Saccharomyces cerevisiae S288C: one gene and its partners. The protein of the gene in region 1 interacts with the protein of each later gene in a biochemical or structural test. Each region holds a gene or a part of one and is shown in the gene's direction. Other genes may lie near its edges.

Region 1 (4,668 bases):
AATATTATGCTGATAGCTATTAAAGCTATAGCATTTAACGGAACTAAGGAATACTACAAGGGATATGAATATCTGTAGGATTAGCTTGATAAAATTACTCTTCTGCCAAGCTTTTAAGTATATGTATGCTCTCCGTTGTATTTTTTATATGCCATTATAGTACTTGAAGTATAACGGAAACCCATTGTAACTCACATTCCTGTAGTAGCTTCTTTTCTTACTTTTTGTAGGCTCTTGTCTCTTTTCTCTTGTTATTTATCAGTTAATATGTAAGAAAAAAATCGACTTCGGGAATTAGGATACAGACACCTCTTAAAACCAGAGATAAAGTAACGTAGAGAAAATAGTAGGATAATGTGTGCAAAAAGAAGAAACTTTGGTGTCTTAAAATAGATAAAAATAACCCTACTGCCAATTTGAAAGGGCCCGAAAAATGTTTGATAAGTTACCTTATGAGATTTTTAAACAAATTGCCTGGAGAATTCCGCAGGAAGATAAAATTTCGTTAACATATGTATGCAAAAGATCCTATGAATCAATTATACCTTTCATCTACCAGAATTTATTTCTTAATGAAACCTATCACATCAATGGTGACTATGATAACTCATTTGGAACCTGTTATTGGTCTGTCCTAAACTTTCACTACATAGATGAAGATGATTCCAATACTAAAAACGACATGTCGAATAGAAGACTAGCTAAAGTGAAATTTAGTTATTTCGAAAGAACATTAGCAGAGTCACCGAAAAGATTATGTCCCTTAATTAATCGAATACGTTGTACATGGCATTTAAATGAAGATGTGATGACAAATGTACTTAAATTGCTATCCGAGTATGGATCCAATTTGAAATTTGTCGATCAATTTGTTCGCTCATCAGTTAACAAGGGGCTAGAACCTTTATCAAAGCAATTAAAAACTCTAACATTAACGCCACCAACGTTAATGCCCACCCATAACAGTGTAAGCGGTTCTTATTTGAATAAAATTGATCGGTTGCTCTTGAAGTGCGATCTATCTCGATTAGAAAAACTTTCCATTCATATAAACGCATTGAAGTACTTCAAAAATACCGGGTCTCCTATGAAGATCAAAGCATTGGTATTAAATTTGCGACCCGACACACTTAACCTTGCGGAGTACGACGCTTCCGATGACTTCTTAAAAGAGCTAGAATACATCGACATATTTGATGCTTCCACCTTAAGGCAGCTAGAGATTTTGTCTTGGTACAGTCGCGACGATTTTCCCTCTGGCGAAGAAGGTGGTTTTGACAGGTTATATGTCAAATGGGGGCTAGAAGGATTTTGGAAATTTCCGAACATTGAGAAACTATCATTAGCGTCATTGGTTTACAGCGAATTTTTTCTAATGAATTGTTTGGCTGTGTTTCACAATTTAAAGATACTGAAACTTGATTACATGGGTAAATTTGACTTCGATGTGTCGTTGATTAACTTCTTATCTAAACAAGTGTGTGGCAAAAAATTACAGCGTTTTGACATACACTGCCAACTAAATCACAGGCTTTTTTTTCCCATGACAGATAACCCACTAACTCGCTTGAATTTCGATGGTTTCTGCCCTTGTTCAACTTGCAAAAATACAATTCACGAGGTCATTCTAAAAAAAATCTTTCCTGAAACCCGGTCAAAACTTTTAAAGAACCCAAATAAGTTCCAAGCCCATAATTTCTTTTACCAAATGTTTTTCGAGAACAAGATCATGCCCTATACAAACATTATTGACAACGAATCACCTGCGATGGGATGGGATTCTGTACCTATTGAAACGTTTGTACGAAAGTTCAATGAAAATCTGCAAAGCACCATAGAAAATACTGAGAATATTACAGTGAATAAAATTACTAGAGAAGATGCCATTAGTTTGTACCACTTATACCTTCATTATCTAAAAGACGTATTTAAAGTTTTTGAGCAAAGTTTGCCGAACTTAGAATATCTAACCATCAACGGTATACCTACAAAAATAATACAAGTGGACGAGTTACAACGATGCGCGGTTCCCCTCTTCTATAATAATGGCTATAAAAGCAACTCTGTTTATGAATTGGTGGACGCAGAAGCTCTATTTAGTTGATACTGTGAGACATGGCGGTTATAACACGTACATAATGATATATACTCTAAATACTGCAAATTGTCAACAAGAGGAAATCAAAACAAATGGATTGTATAGTCTAGTTAGAGCTTTCTCAGTGTTCTCACTGGATTGCAGTGATGTGACATAGTTCAATAAAACAAATTATGAGCAATAAAAGCAACCGCAGGAGTTTACGTGACATAGGGAATACGATTGGTCGAAATAATATACCAAGTGACAAGGACAATGTCTTTGTGAGATTGAGTATGTCCCCTTTGAGGACGACAAGCCAAAAAGAGTTTTTGAAACCACCTATGAGGATATCACCTAACAAGACAGATGGAATGAAGCATAGTATACAAGTAACACCAAGAAGGATTATGTCGCCGGAATGTCTGAAGGGCTATGTCTCTAAGGAAACTCAAAGCCTGGATAGGCCTCAGTTCAAAAATTCGAATAAAAATGTGAAGATCCAAAACTCAGATCATATAACTAATATAATATTCCCTACATCACCAACCAAACTGACATTCAGTAATGAAAATAAAATCGGGGGTGATGGTTCGTTAACGAGAATACGGGCCCGGTTTAAGAATGGACTCATGTCACCTGAAAGGATACAGCAGCAACAGCAGCAACATATTCTCCCATCGGATGCCAAAAGCAACACTGACCTCTGTTCTAATACTGAGCTCAAGGACGCCCCATTTGAGAATGACCTTCCTCGAGCTAAATTGAAAGGGAAGAATTTATTAGTTGAACTCAAGAAAGAAGAGGAAGACGTGGGAAATGGCATAGAATCCCTTACTAAATCGAACACTAAACTGAATTCCATGCTGGCGAACGAAGGTAAGATACACAAAGCTAGTTTCCAGAAAAGTGTAAAATTTAAACTACCTGATAATATAGTGACTGAAGAAACCGTGGAACTTAAAGAAATAAAGGACTTGCTACTACAAATGTTGAGAAGACAGCGAGAGATTGAATCAAGATTATCCAATATCGAACTTCAACTCACGGAAATACCGAAACATAAGTAATCATATCCCTTCTCACATTTTTTACACAGGAAGTAAGCAAGTTATGTTATATTTCCGACACTATAATTAATTCTTAGCAGTTAAAGGTGCTTTGTCTATATTACATTTACATACAGCTTGAGTGATCCTGACCGGATATAGGGTCCTATTTTCTTACGTGAACGGCTTTTCTTCTTGTTCCCGATGGCCTTCATGTGAAAAAGCACTCCTCGGGAGGCGGAAAAATATCAAAAGTACGGGGCGAAGTTTATAATGAAGATTTATCGATATAAATTTTGGTTATTTCAGGAGAACAAGAAAGCTCTTTACACTAAAATTATCAGAGAAGAAGCTGATATATTAGCCCTAAGGAGTACACCAAAACACAATGAATATTGTCAAATTACAAGTATGTATGCCTTTCTCGAATTCCCACACTGCTGAGCACAGTGAAAAAGTTTTTTCTACCTTTTAGGTTGTAATAAACGTTTCATATACTAACAAACTCTTCTGCGATTAGAGAAAATTTCCAATTTTGACTCAAGAGGATCTTTTTTCCACAATTGAAAAGTTCAGAGCCATTGACTTAGATGATAAAGGATGGGTTGAAAAACAGCAAGCTCTAGAAGCGGTGTCCAAAGATGGTGATGCTACTTATGACGAAGCAAGAGAAACCCTGAAGCATGTGGGTGTGGATGCGTCAGGCCGTGTTGAACTGGACGATTACGTCGGGTTGGTTGCAAAATTAAGAGAATCTAAAACAGGAGCTGCTCCACAGACCACTTTCAACGTAGCACCTAACTCAACCCCTATTGTTTCCACTGCTGCCACAGGACTACAGCACAAGGGTAAGGGTACTCAAGCCAAGATTATTGTTGCTGGCTCCCAAACAGGTACTACACATACCATCAATGAAGAAGAAAGACGTGAATTTACTAAACATATCAATAGCGTCTTGGCGGGAGACCAAGATATAGGTGATTTGCTTCCATTTCCTACTGATACTTTCCAATTATTTGATGAATGTAGGGATGGGTTGGTGCTATCTAAGTTGATCAACGACTCTGTTCCTGATACTATCGATACAAGAGTTTTGAATTGGCCTAAGAAGGGTAAGGAATTGAATAATTTTCAGGCTAGTGAAAATGCTAATATTGTTATTAATTCTGCAAAAGCCATTGGTTGTGTCGTTGTTAATGTTCATTCCGAGGACATTATTGAAGGTAGAGAGCATTTGATCCTGGGTTTGATTTGGCAAATTATTAGGAGAGGTTTGTTAAGTAAAATTGATATTAAGCTGCATCCTGAGTTATACCGTCTATTGGAGGATGATGAAACGTTGGAGCAATTTTTGAGGTTGCCTCCGGAGCAAATTCTACTACGTTGGTTTAACTACCATTTGAAGCAAGCAAACTGGAACAGAAGGGTTACCAATTTTTCAAAAGACGTGTCTGATGGTGAAAACTATACTATCTTGTTGAACCAGTTGGACCCCGCCTTGTGTTCTAAGGCACCATTACAAACCACAGATTTAATGGAGAG
Region 2 (4,770 bases), on another chromosome or scaffold:
TAGAGATAATTGTAGGGGCCTTTTGTAATGTTTCGGATGTTCTGTTTTAAGTCCGCGGGAGGCCTTTTTATTTTTCGCTTTTTTAGAGATTTCACGAATAAAAGCGTTGCAGAAATGCAACTTCAAAAGAGACTGAAGGAAACACAGATAGAAGAACAGTCTTCAAAGCAATCAATTCGTGTCGGTGCAGCTTAAGAAATGACTTTTATGCAACAGCTTCAAGAGGCTGGGGAAAGATTTAGGTGTATCAATGGTCTTTTATGGGTTGTTTTTGGGCTTGGTGTCTTAAAATGTACAACGTTATCACTTAGATTTTTAGCTCTTATTTTTGATCTTTTTTTACTACCAGCAGTCAATTTCGACAAGTATGGTGCTAAAACTGGTAAATACTGTGCTATCACTGGTGCAAGTGACGGTATTGGTAAAGAATTTGCTAGACAAATGGCGAAACGTGGCTTCAACTTGGTATTGATCTCGAGAACGCAATCTAAATTGGAGGCTTTACAAAAAGAACTAGAAGATCAACATCATGTCGTTGTAAAGATTCTAGCCATTGACATTGCGGAGGATAAAGAATCCAACTATGAATCCATTAAGGAATTGTGTGCGCAGTTACCAATCACCGTTTTGGTCAATAATGTTGGTCAATCACACTCCATTCCTGTTCCATTTTTGGAAACAGAAGAGAAGGAGCTTAGAAATATTATCACTATCAATAACACTGCTACATTATTAATTACACAAATCATTGCACCAAAGATTGTGGAAACTGTGAAAGCTGAAAACAAGAAGTCGGGTACTCGTGGTTTGATCTTAACCATGGGCTCATTTGGTGGTCTGATTCCCACCCCACTTTTGGCTACATACAGTGGTTCGAAATCATTCTTACAAGGTTGGTCTAACTCTTTGGCTGGGGAATTATCTAAAGATGCTATCGATGTTGAATTAATCATTTCATATTTGGTCACTAGCTCGATGTCTAAAATCAGAAGATCATCTTTAATGATCCCAAATCCACAACAGTTTGTAAAATCCACTTTAAGAAGCGTTGGCAGACGCTGCGGCTCTCAAGAAAGATACGCTACTATGACCCCTTACTGGGCGCACGCAGTGTATCAATTTGTAATTACAGAGACCTTTGGCGTTTACTCTAAGATTGTTAACTCCATTAATTATTCCTTCCATAAATCTATCAGAATTAGAGCCTTAAAAAAAGCCGCAAGACAGGTTAAAAAGGAATAGAATTATCGTTCTCGAGATAGTTTTTATACAATACATATATATATATATATATATATATTTACAAGAAAAGCATGGCTTATGTATTATACTTGCTTATGTACCAATATATACATATATGGCCTTATTAGGGCAACAAACGCCAAAAATAAAAACGAACCTAAATGAGAAAAAAAGAGAAAAATTTGGAAAACAACAAGAACTCAAAAAAAAAAATTGGTGGAAGGACCAAGTCCTCTTGAAAGAAAATTTAATACTGCTTTTCCAGAATATCATATTGGAAAAAATATTCAAGCCAGCACATCAGCTACAGTGGAAAATAGCCCAGATCAAATAGAACTATCCTTCGAACATGAGCGGTGAATTAGCAAATTACAAAAGACTTGAGAAAGTCGGTGAAGGTACATACGGTGTTGTTTATAAAGCGTTAGACTTAAGACCTGGCCAAGGTCAAAGAGTAGTCGCATTGAAGAAAATAAGACTAGAGAGTGAAGACGAGGGTGTTCCCAGTACAGCCATCAGAGAAATCTCATTATTGAAGGAATTAAAAGACGATAATATTGTCAGATTATACGATATTGTTCACTCTGATGCACACAAGCTATATCTTGTTTTTGAGTTCCTCGATTTGGACCTGAAAAGATATATGGAGGGTATTCCAAAGGACCAACCGTTAGGAGCTGATATTGTTAAGAAGTTTATGATGCAACTTTGTAAGGGTATTGCATACTGCCACTCACACCGTATTCTGCATCGTGATTTAAAACCGCAGAACTTATTGATTAACAAAGATGGGAATCTAAAACTAGGTGATTTTGGCTTAGCGCGTGCTTTTGGTGTTCCGTTGAGAGCTTACACACATGAAATTGTTACTCTATGGTATAGAGCTCCGGAGGTATTACTGGGTGGAAAACAATATAGTACAGGTGTCGATACATGGTCCATCGGCTGTATATTTGCCGAAATGTGTAACAGGAAACCAATCTTCAGTGGCGATAGTGAGATCGATCAGATTTTCAAGATATTCAGAGTATTGGGAACGCCGAATGAAGCTATATGGCCAGATATTGTCTACTTGCCTGATTTCAAGCCAAGCTTTCCTCAATGGCGCAGAAAAGACCTATCACAAGTGGTACCAAGTCTAGATCCACGCGGTATTGATTTGTTGGACAAACTCCTCGCGTATGACCCTATTAACCGGATTAGCGCCAGAAGAGCAGCCATCCACCCCTACTTCCAAGAATCATAAGCATTATAATCTATTTCGCTATTATATTACAAATGCTACTGCACTGTCATTATAGCCTAGTAAAGTATATAGTGAATACAATATACTCAGTTTCAACATTATGATGGGTAACTCCATCAGAAAATATATTCATCGTCATATACGGAACATTCAGTTATACGCGAAAGTAAAAGTGAGAGCTTTTCAGGGGTTAAAAGCTGGGCGTGTTCCATGACGTATTTACCGAGGTCGTATTATCAAAGAAAATGAAAAAAAAAAAAAAAAAAAAAAAAGCGAAGAGGAAAAAGACAAACGAAAAACAAAACGAAATAACGCATTGTATGCTGGGGCCTCAATTGAACTTCTTTGACTATAAGGAGTTCGCTTGTTTAAAGCCGTTTCGCATCTGACTCGCCCTTGGTTTTTTTCTCTGTTCTTGTTTTTGACCTCCGCAAATTCATTGCTCTTTGAATTTTGAAGAGTTTCATTGTCACCGTTGAATAACCGAGACGGGTATTGTTTTTATTTCCTTCATTATTTACATCGCAACACGATTTTTATTAGCTTCCTCAAGGAGCGCTGACCGTATATAATATAATTTCAACAACCGAACAAGGCAGTGCGAAGCGGTGCACCTTACAACAGTGCTAAAGTAGTTACAGTAAACCAATTAATACGTGATGAAGAAGGAGTTGAAAATTCTTATAATAGCGAACATTGCATTACTTATCTCTATAATACATTACACATTTGATTTGTTGACGTTATGTATAGATGATACTTCCAAAGATGCGCTAACAGATGAACAGCTGAACCCCCCCAATGGCTTCAATTCAACATTCTATGAGTCTCCTCCTCAACTCATACCGAAAATCATTCATCAAACCTACAAAACAAACGATATCCCAGAACAGTGGGTAAAAGGGAGGCAGAAGTGCATTGATTTACATCCGGATTACACTTACATTTTATGGACGGATGAAATGTCTGATACTTTCATTAAACAGGAATACCCGTGGTTTCTTGACACCTTTAGGAGTTATGAATATCCAATTGAGAGGGCGGATGCAATACGGTATTTCATCCTTTCGCATTATGGTGGTATTTACATTGACTTGGATGATGGTTGTGAAAGAAGGCTAGACCCTTTGTTGAAAGTACCAGCATTTCTAAGGAAAACTTCGCCTACAGGAGTGTCAAATGATGTGATGGGCTCTGTTCCAAGGCACCCCTTCTTCTTGAAGGTCATCAAATCGTTGAAACACTATAAGAAAAACTGGTACATTCCATATATGACAATCATGGGCTCTACGGGCCCCTTATTCATTAGTGTGGTTTGGAAGCAATATAAGAGATGGTCTAATACGGCCGAAAATGGTGCGGTAAGAATTTTACAACCTGCAGATTATAAAATGCATAATAATTCTTTTTTCTCAATATCTAAAGGTTCCTCCTGGCATACGGGTGATGCCAATTTTATGAAAACTCTAGAGAATCACATCTTGTCTTGCGTGGTTACCGGATTCATTTTTGGCTTTTTCATATTATACGGTGAATTTACATTTTATACTTGGCTGTGCTCGGGACCATTTAACAACAAACGCTATTACATTCAGTGGTTGAGTGACAAGTTCAAGTTACACAAGTGGAAACTAACATCGTCTTACAAGAATAAGGAAAAGAGGCGGAATCCTACTCGTCACGAATATAATTCGAGGGGTAAGAGATTAAGAAAAGATTCTAATATCCCCTACGACAGCGTTTTCCTTGATATAGAAAAGAATCACGCAAAATTTACCGACTTAACCTGATTGAATTGCCACTGTTCTACCCCTATAATATTGTGAGCATGGATAAATCTCAAAAACAATGGCGTATAGATATATAACAGGTATTAAATCTTAGTATTTAAGAATTACAAGTAACATGCATTCCTATAAAAATTAAAGAGAAAAAAATTCGATTATAAAATAGTACAATGTCCAGAAGCTTGGTTTTTAATAGTATATAATAAAGATAAAGATAGATAGAGAACATAACTCTAAACTTTAAGAGTGAATTTTTTTTTTTTAGTTTAGTTTTTTTTTTTTTTTTTTTTTACAATAATGTATTGTTCTTGGAAAATAACACAATCTGTTCAAAGTGGACAGAAACCCTAAAACAAAAATAATAACGGGGAAGGAAAAAAATAGCAAGTGAAACATAAATGAAAAAAAGGAAAATTTTATTGGTTAATAAGAAACGATCGACTATGGCAAGGCCGCAGAAGAACCGGACTTGCTCAACCATTGGTCAACGACATC
Region 3 (3,798 bases), on another chromosome or scaffold:
CTATATAAGCTCATTTCCATGTTTTATACACAAATATCGGGCATCGCAGCTCCATGGCGAAAAATTTCATCGAAGCCATATTCGGATACCCGGGACACTTCTGACCAATGAGAACCCAGTTTGTTAGTAAGTGCATTTATTAAATAAGTGCAGATGTAATTACGTACTCTACTCTAACATTCTATAAGGAAAAGCTACTTACGTACTAAAATAGTCTCTTCGGTTGTAGATGAAGTTCTGGTAAAGGAATTGTCTACTACAAACTGAATCGCATGATCTACTTCGGCCAAATCCACATCGTCTTGCTTCTCGAAGTATGCAGTATGGAAAGCCTTGGCATCATCTGAAATATATGCAGTTTGCTTGAAATTAGTATACTGCTGTCCAACCCATTCATATTTGGTGGGGTAAGAATTCTTTTTCGTTTTCAGTAGAATCCAAAGTATCAATAAATCATAAGTAGATTCAAAGATGACCTCTTCACCATCTTCGTTGCTGAACAGCGAAGGTAATTCAGTTTCTGCAAAAGCAGGGTCATTCTTAAGAATTTTGCTCATGGTTAGCAATTGGTGCTTGTTCTCTGACAGCATTGTTTTTTCTAGTTTTTTCAACCTCGTTAAAGCCTCTTTTAAAATTTGTTTTTGACCTTTAGTATAAACGTCAGCACAATAGACTCTGTAAGGATCAATTGCATAAGAGTCATCAGTTGCAGGTGGTCCAGTAATGCTGTTGAGTTTGCTCTGCAATGCATTTCGTAGCATTTGTATACCCTGCAAACGGGCTCTCAAATCGTGTAGATCCTCCTCTTCGGCCTTAGAAAGGTAGGTAAAAAGATCCAGTAATGGTTCTAAACATTGTTCATTTTGTATGTTAATGAAGTAAGTCACCCCATTGATGTAGTCTGTAGCACTACGAGTAGCCTTCTTTTCTTGCTGGACACAGTCTTTGTTTTCAAAAGCATAAGTGGTGTAATCCGAAAGTAAGGGCAGCTTCAAACTAGGTTCTGTTTCAAGAATTGTAGATACCACATCTAATGGCAATTTAACTTTCAAAGCCACTGAGTCAAATATGTTGTCTTCTAAAACAAATCCATATCCAGAGAGTAACTCCTCATTTCCCTTACCGCCATAATTATTTGATAGTTCTCGTGATTGGGAGGCGGTACCGATTTTTTCATAACAGAACCACCCATTTTCAGGATACCATTTGACTTTGGAACGGTAGTCATGATTTAGAAGATCGACGATGGGAAGCAGTACAATAGAGTTGTCAGGACAGTTTCTGTTTAGCACATATTCAGGGAATGCTCTTGAAATGAATATAAGGTGCGACCATAAAAATGCAGGAAAAGAATACCAGATAGTTGGTCTTTGAAGTTCTGTTATCTTCAAAATCTTCTCATACAAAGCCTCATATGTCAACTCATCGAGATTATGGAAGGTCTGCACATCATCTGCCACTCTTTCCAAGTCAAACATATCTGAAGAACTGACCAGTTCAAACCACTCTTTAAATATACCTTCGAACTTTTCATGAATCGAATTCCCTATGTTTGTAGATGATAAACGCTTCAACTCGCTTGGGTTCCAGACCAAGGGCGAATTTAGGCGGGAAGGCAATGCATCCAAGTAAGGTTTAAATTTATCATTCACACGAACATTGTCCACGATAGTATCATTATCCCTATCAAATTTTATTTTTGCGAAGAACAACTTCAGCCATCCGTTGATATTCTTAGTGGATTCACTTAGCCCAAAAAACTTCATGGGCAGATTCCTTGAAATGACAATCTCGGGAGGAATCTTGATGCTGGGATTGTCTATATCTTTTTCACATACGCAAATAATGCCCTTAAGATCGGTATATAAAAACTTGAGTTCCTCTGGCACTATTACACCAAATGACGCACCCCACTGAAGTAGTGCTTTTAACGCATCTGATGACATGATAGTCTTCTCTTGTATCTATAACCTTTGTGCTCCATTTTCCGATACAGCATTGCTTATTGAACAGTAAGTTTAACTTCACGCGTTTTTCCTGTAAAGCGCTTAATTTGTTTACCATTCTATAAAAACCTTGAGCTAAGGCCAACTGATGCAATTGCTCAAGTGAATGCATAAACAAAGCAAGATCATTCTTAGCGCAAAAAAAACTGGGATTTTGAAATACAACAAAAGAAAGAAGTAAAAAGGGAATGCAACGCAATAGTTTAGTAAATATCAAACTAAACGCTAATTCGCCATCGAAAAAGACCACAACAAGACCAAATACGTCCAGGATCAATAAACCATGGAGAATATCCCATTCGCCGCAGCAAAGAAACCCGAATTCAAAAATACCTTCACCTGTAAGAGAAAAATTGAACAGATTACCTGTAAACAATAAGAAGTTTTTGGATATGGAAAGCTCCAAAATTCCATCACCTATAAGGAAAGCGACTTCTTCCAAAATGATACACGAAAATAAGAAGCTACCTAAATTTAAATCCCTATCACTCGATGACTTTGAACTGGGGAAGAAATTAGGAAAGGGTAAATTCGGTAAAGTTTATTGCGTTCGGCACAGGAGTACAGGATATATTTGCGCACTGAAAGTAATGGAGAAGGAAGAAATAATAAAGTATAATTTACAGAAACAATTCAGAAGGGAGGTAGAAATACAAACATCGCTAAATCATCCGAATCTAACTAAATCATACGGCTATTTTCATGATGAAAAAAGAGTGTACCTGCTAATGGAATACTTAGTCAATGGGGAAATGTATAAACTATTGAGGTTACACGGACCCTTCAACGATATTTTAGCATCAGATTATATTTATCAAATTGCCAATGCCCTAGATTATATGCATAAAAAGAATATTATTCATAGAGATATTAAACCTGAAAATATACTAATAGGGTTCAATAATGTCATTAAGTTAACGGACTTCGGATGGAGTATAATAAATCCGCCAGAAAATAGAAGGAAAACTGTCTGTGGGACAATTGACTACCTTTCTCCAGAAATGGTGGAGTCAAGGGAATATGATCACACTATAGATGCATGGGCTCTTGGCGTCCTGGCGTTTGAACTACTGACCGGTGCCCCTCCGTTCGAAGAAGAAATGAAAGATACTACATATAAAAGGATAGCAGCACTGGATATCAAAATGCCCAGTAACATTTCTCAGGATGCGCAAGATTTAATACTTAAACTACTAAAATACGACCCCAAAGATAGAATGCGCCTTGGAGACGTAAAAATGCATCCTTGGATACTAAGAAACAAGCCCTTTTGGGAAAATAAGCGGTTATAGAATTAAAGTATGACAGAATCGTTTGAAGGGCACTATTAATCACTCCCGCACATATCACATAATACTAAGTATCCATTTCTAATATTTCATTACTCTTTTCGGCATCGTATATTGCGATATTTGATTAAATTTTCTTGTTCATTTTTTCCTCTTTTCTTTCGCCTTTGTCGAAAGAAAAGAGGAAAACAAGCTGAAAATTGCTATGCATTAAAGTAGCAGATTTACTTTGTTGAGTTGGTTCTGATCAATAATAAGAGTAATGAAAGAAAGCAAAAAAATGGCTAAAGATAATTTAACTAATTTGCTCTCTCAATTGAACATTCAATTGTCTCAAGACGAGCATTCGCAGGTCGAACAGACTTGCGTGAAACTATTGGATTCTGGATGTGAGAATCCAGCGGATGTATTTAGACGTTGCTTAGTAGCTGTTATCCAACAGGACAAGTATCAAAAGGCTTTACATTATTTAAAAAAATTCAAACATATAGATGACAAGTACG
Region 4 (5,644 bases), on another chromosome or scaffold:
ATTTGCGCAAAATCGAAGTCAAGGCCCAACACCCCTGGAAGTGACACTTCGAATGACTTACCAGCGGAATGCGTTATCAGCTAAACAAAAATTGAACCAAAAGCTATAGTAGTCATATATATATATATACACCCTTTTTATTGTTACAAAAAGATTTCACCATCAGAAATCTAAAGAAGCCGGTTCATCATCATCTTCACGTTCTCTTTTCACTGAACCCAGTTCATTTTTCAAAAGAGAACTCACATATGCTTGGAACTGATTGATAAAAGGTTGTAAAGCTGTTAATGAAACATCATTATTTTTCTCCATTTCTGTTTGAAGATCAATTAGCTTAGGTGCTTTTTCAGGTGCAAAGGATTCATCAATAGGCACACAGACATTCCCCGTAGCAGGATGAATACAAAAAGGGGCCTTTAACAAATGAATTGTTTGCTTTGTAACTTCCACATCCAGCTTCGGATAAAGAGTCATCAATACGAGATCTTCCTTACATTCACGTAACTTAATTATGTGAGAGTCTTGCTTGGGGCCTTTGAAGAGCGATGTAGCTATCTGATCTATATCATTCCACTTCTCTTTGCTTGACCTCCTTGGATTGTCCAGCCAATACTTCTTTAATGAATCAATCAATTGTTTATCATATAATGCAGGCAATAAAGTTTGGATAGCATGTTGGTCATCTTCCCAAGGATTTTGCTCTTCGAGCATAATGCTGACAAAGAAAGGTTTCAATTGCTCCAAAGAACGAGCAAGATGAGGGTGATAAGGCCTCTTCAAAGCCAATCGCTTGTCAGTATTTCTGTCTCTAATCACGTTGACATAATCTAAAACGTTTCTTCGTTGTACATCCGTCAAAGCCCGTGCCCGTTTGTCGCTTACCCAACAATGAGCACCACGTCTACCTGAAAATACCCAGATGAAGTCCTTATAACCAAAATCCTCTCTTAGGGCCGTGTTCGTAATTTTCATTGCCAAAGATATAAATTTCCAGCACTTAGAGCAAACTTGGGCTCCGGAGCAACACGTTCTGAAGGCATCGTAATCATCCATATCAATATCAAACACCAACTCCTTCTCTAAAGCTTTCAATTCGCTTTTTAATAGAGTATCACGTTCTCTTGGCGGTTTGTTATATATGGCACCGATTTCAAATCTGTCTGGGTTGGCTTTTTCTATTTGTGCTTTGAAATCTTGCACAGAGTTAAAAGAATTATACCTTTTGTAAGCACCTGACCTGAACGCCATAGCGAATTCTCTGTTAATCATATCCCTAGAAGGTTTGGGCGAATGATTCAGCCAGTTGAAAATGTGTTTGAATGGATAGAGCGACTTATAGTAGTACTCCATGTCTGAGGAGCTTGGCCCATTAGTCTTTACTGAATTGGTCATGATGTTTATAAAACAGTTTTTTGAGTTGCTAAAACTAATTTTTGCTAGTATTATGGCACGCTTTTCTCTTCAGCTTCAAAGTATTTTTGATTAATTTTTTATCTTTTTGGCGTTATGAAACTTTTCAACTGAAAGAAAACAATAGGTAAAAGTGGCAAAGGGCACTGACCGAGCAACTGTTTCGAAACTCACGCATCATTCACACGTAGGATATAGTAATGGTTGAACCAGCAAGGAAAAAGCAGAGGATTGATCGCGATACTCATCACACTGTGGCTGAACCAGTAACGGAAGCTAAAAATACGCTGTACGTGAGCCAGCTTAATGAAAAAATTAATATGCAACGACTGCGAGTAAACCTTTTTTTGCTCTTTGCTACGTTTGGAGAGGTACTGAAGGTTAGCATGAATTTCAAGAAACAGCGGGGCCAAGCCTTTATCACCATGAGAACCATCGACCAGGCCAGTCTGGCCCAGATTTCATTAAACGGCGAGCGATTCTTTGGTAAGCCTTTGAAAGTTGAGTTCAGCAAGAGTGAAACTAAAACACTATGACTGGCTTAACGCTCTATTCATAGCAGCACGTATATACCGAGAAGAGCTGCCATAGGGGCACATCAAAGTCAAGAGCGCAGAACCAAACCAAAATGTTTATATCCAAACAACCCGGCGTTATAGATGGTCGTCAACGGACAAATAATATCAAGGCATGTATCAATATGGAGTAGATATAGAATCTACAAAAATCTGTAGCAGAAAGAGTCTCCCGAAAAGACATACTGCAGAACGGCCGCTTATTCCTCACTTCAATTGCTTAAATAATACAAAGGGCAAACCACAGAGTACCCCATTGCCAAAAGACGTTTATTACATTTTGGAAGTGATAATTTAGTATATAAGACAGCTTACTATATGATGAATTACAGTGTAGTTCAGCGTTTATATGTGGCTTCGTTTAAAATGATATATATTTCTAGTAAAAGCAAAAATTCACAAATGATAAACAAATCAAAATAAACATCAAAAGAACCGCCAATTGATAAAAGCACAAAGTACCAGGCAGAGTTGTGAAACCGGGCCTCTTCTATTGTACCACACACAAATTTTTCTTTATTTAGGTAGAGGATGAGTCTGGAACCCACACAAACGGTCTCCGGTACGCCGCCGATGCTGCATCAAAGAACACACAAACAAGTATACCCATTGCGGATGGAAACTATCCCAATATTGGAATCCGACTCCAAGGCTACTCTACAAAGCAACGAGCCCACCCAGAAAGATGAGGAGGAGACCGAATATTTTGAGAATAAACAATCCGTGTCGAATTTGAGCCCCGATTTGAAATTCAAACGACACAAGAATAAACATATCCAGGGGTTCCCTACTCTGGGCGAAAGGCTGGATAACCTGCAAGATATAAAAAAGGCCAAGAGAGTGGAGAATTTCAATTCTTCTGCGCCAATTGCTGACGACAATCATAGTGGAGATGCGACTGCAAATGCGACTGCAAATGCGACTGCAAATGCGACTGCGAATGTTAATGCAAGTGCAATGCCCGCTCCATATATGCCTTATTACTATTACTACCATCCGATGAATGCACCAACTCCTGCAATGATACCATATCCTGGATCACCAATGCATTCGATTATGCCCAACTCCTCATTACAGCCCTTTTATTCGCAACCCACTGCTGCAGGCGGTCCCGATATGACTACTCCCCAAAATATATCTTCATCACAACAATTGCTGCCAGCTCCGCAATTGTTTCCGTACGGATCATTCCATCAACAACAACTTCAGCAACCACACTACATTCAACGAACAAGGGAAAGGAAAAAATCAATCGGAAGTCAGAGAGGTAGAAGATTGTCTATGTTAGCATCTCAAGCTAATGGGGGAAGCACTATTATATCTCCGCACAAGGATATTCCTGAAGAGGATTTTTACACCGTGGTTGGAAATGCGTCTTTTGGTAAAAATTTACAAATACGACAGCTTTTCAACTGGTGTTTAATGAGATCTCTGCATAAATTGGAGTTGAAGGCTAAAAACCAAGAGGAAGAAGGGGAACTTGAACATCTGACCAAAAAATCCAAGCTCGAATCAACAAAGGCAGAAACTGATTATGTGGATCCCAAACGTCTGGCTATGGTGATAATAAAAGAGTTTGTCGATGATCTTAAAAAAGATCATATTGCGATAGATTGGGAAGATGAGGAAAAATATGAGGATGAAGATGAGGAGAAGATTCTGGATAATACTGAAAACTACGATGACACGGAACTGCGACAACTGTTTCAGGAAAACGACGACGACGACGACGACGACGATGAGGTGGACTACTCGGAAATACAGAGGTCTAGACGTAAATTTAGTGAAAGGAGAAAAGCCCTACCGAAAGAACCAAAAAAACTATTACCTAATAGCAAAAACGTGGAAAACACAAAGAATCTTAGCATTTTAACGAGCAAGGTGAACGCGATCAAAAATGAAGTGAAAGAATGGGCAGTCACTTTAGACACTTCGAGACCAGATCTTGAATGGCAAGAATTGACTTCATTCTCATCACAACCACTGGAACCGTTGTCGGATACAGAAGAGCCAGACCTTGCGATTGCAGATGTTGAGACAAAGTTAGAAACAAAAGTCGATGAGCTAAGGTACCAGTCGCATATATTAAACTCGCACTCACTAGCCTTAAACGAAATAACAAATTCAAAAGTGAATAAATTGAACATAGAAACAATGAGAAAGATCTCAAGCGAAACGGACGATGACCACTCACAAGTGATTAATCCTCAACAGCTGTTGAAGGGATTAAGTTTATCTTTCAGTAAAAAACTGGATTTATGAAATAAAAGAAAAAATCAAAAAAAAATCGGATACTTCTGCATATGTAACATTACACAGTCATACATTTATATATACATATATATACATATTAATGTATTTGAAAAAGCAAAAGAACCATTCTATCCTTAGTTAAAGGGCGAATCAGTAGCAGCGCTACCACTATTGTTATTGTTTTCGTTTGCTGTCATGGTATCGTGGTGGTAAATAATACTTTCTTGAAGTGATAATGTTGATGACGATGCTGCTGAAGGGCTACCCATATCTAAAGATTTGAACAGCTGGAGTGGGCGTTCCAATAACCCATTTGAATGTTCATTGTATACCTGTAATCTTGTCATATGACTTTTCCAGACGGAGCTATTATCTGCTAATAAAATTATCCTGTCACGGGCAACATGTTCAATAAGCGTACACCATACGTGAGACAATTGTTCAATGCATTTATCGTAGTAGTAATTATTACTAGCTAATTCAAATCTGGGCAATTTGATAACTAATTCCGTGCAAATGTCTAAGAATTTTAATGATGCGTGCAAATTTTCCAAACGTGGTGGAATGTTATCCAGTATGAAATCCACCAAACAGTTTAAGAACTCCAGAATTTGAGGTTTCATTCTCACGAAAGCATAGTCATCTAATTTATTACTCTCATAAGACCTATTGTAAGGTATGCTCTGGTAAACGGCTTCTGATTTTTGTTTCAACATGTCCAGACACTTTTGTATACTGAAGTCTAATCCGATGACTCTCGTATGTACGCTTTGTTGTATTTCTGGATGTTTTGTCATCAAATCCACCAACAACTGCTGTAATTGGTTCTTGTTCATTAGTTCCATGCCTCGTTGCAAGGGCAGAGGCTGCCCTCTGATGAGCGATCCTGGCTGAGGCCTCCTCTTGGAGACGCCCCCATATTTCATCACATTCTTGTTACGAGGTAGTTCTTCCTCTTCTTGCTCCTCGTTGGCATACCGCCTTTTTTGTTTCACTCCAGCAGTTGGAATCATTACATTGCCTGTGCCTTGTGAACTGACTGTACTCTGTGTTATTTTACTGCTGGGTTTAAAACCCCATTCAAACCCCATCATAATGCTATACTGTCCTGTGTTTGTTGCTTTTGCCAGGTACCTTCGAACACACTAAGTGAGAATACTTGGTTAAGTATATTTTTAAGTAAGAAATTCCCACTCGCCGCATTATCACCCGCCCGCCGTTTCTTTTTCTGGCAAAATTTTCACTATGAATAACTAAAGAGATACATTCGATGGGCTTTAGATGAGGCCTTTTGAAGACCAAAACAGCACCAAATAGCGACACATTAAGCGTAATGGAACCTCAAGAAGAGTTTATAACTACCGAAGAAGTTGAGCAGGAGATTGTGCCCACTGTGGAGGTCGAAC

What was found.
Region 2: of the proteins of FIN1 (region 1) and CDC28, one has a biochemical effect on the other in vitro, tested with the Saccharomyces cerevisiae proteins (6 studies listed by BioGRID).
Region 3: of the proteins of FIN1 (region 1) and IPL1, one has a biochemical effect on the other in vitro, tested with the Saccharomyces cerevisiae proteins (one study listed by BioGRID).
Region 4: the proteins of FIN1 (region 1) and DSN1 are reported together in a solved structure, tested with the Saccharomyces cerevisiae proteins (one study listed by BioGRID).

What each region holds. Positions count from the first base shown.
Region 1 is NC_001136.10:714,226-718,893, reverse strand, and holds FIN1 (Fin1p), read left to right. Parts: upstream 1-2,271; coding exon 2,272-3,147; downstream 3,148-4,668. Other genes in the region: MRX16 (Mrx16p), read left to right, coding at 1-78; YDR131C (uncharacterized protein), read left to right, coding at 434-2,104; SAC6 (fimbrin), read left to right, coding at 3,515-3,535, 3,647-4,668. UniProt on the Saccharomyces cerevisiae protein: Forms cell-cycle specific filaments between the spindle pole bodies of dividing yeast cells.
Region 2 is NC_001134.8:558,487-563,256, forward strand, and holds CDC28 (cyclin-dependent serine/threonine-protein kinase CDC28), read left to right. Parts: upstream 1-1,591; coding exon 1,592-2,488; downstream 2,489-4,770. Other genes in the region: IFA38 (ketoreductase), read left to right, coding at 199-1,242; mannosylinositol phosphorylceramide synthase catalytic subunit CSH1, read left to right, coding at 3,148-4,278; TOS1 (Tos1p), read right to left, coding at 4,717-4,770. UniProt on the Saccharomyces cerevisiae protein: Cyclin-dependent kinase that acts as a master regulator of the mitotic and meiotic cell cycles. Required to drive the G1-S transition. More than 200 substrates have been identified. Substrate specificity is in part regulated by the bound cyclin protein.
Region 3 is NC_001148.4:155,990-159,787, reverse strand, and holds IPL1 (aurora kinase), read left to right. Parts: upstream 1-2,194; coding exon 2,195-3,298; downstream 3,299-3,798. Other genes in the region: RKM1 (protein-lysine N-methyltransferase), read right to left, coding at 195-1,946; signal recognition particle subunit SRP72, read left to right, coding at 3,576-3,798. UniProt on the Saccharomyces cerevisiae protein: Component of the chromosomal passenger complex (CPC), a complex that acts as a key regulator of chromosome segregation and cytokinesis.
Region 4 is NC_001141.2:372,915-378,558, forward strand, and holds DSN1 (MIND complex subunit DSN1), read left to right. Parts: upstream 1-2,516; coding exon 2,517-4,247; downstream 4,248-5,644. Other genes in the region: EGH1 (hydrolase), read left to right, coding at 1-84; DNA primase subunit PRI1, read right to left, coding at 163-1,392; U2 snRNP complex subunit MSL1, read left to right, coding at 1,611-1,946; STS1 (Sts1p), read right to left, coding at 4,373-5,332; SQT1 (Sqt1p), read left to right, coding at 5,572-5,644. UniProt on the Saccharomyces cerevisiae protein: Acts as an essential component of the kinetochore MIND complex, which is required for the spindle checkpoint and kinetochore integrity.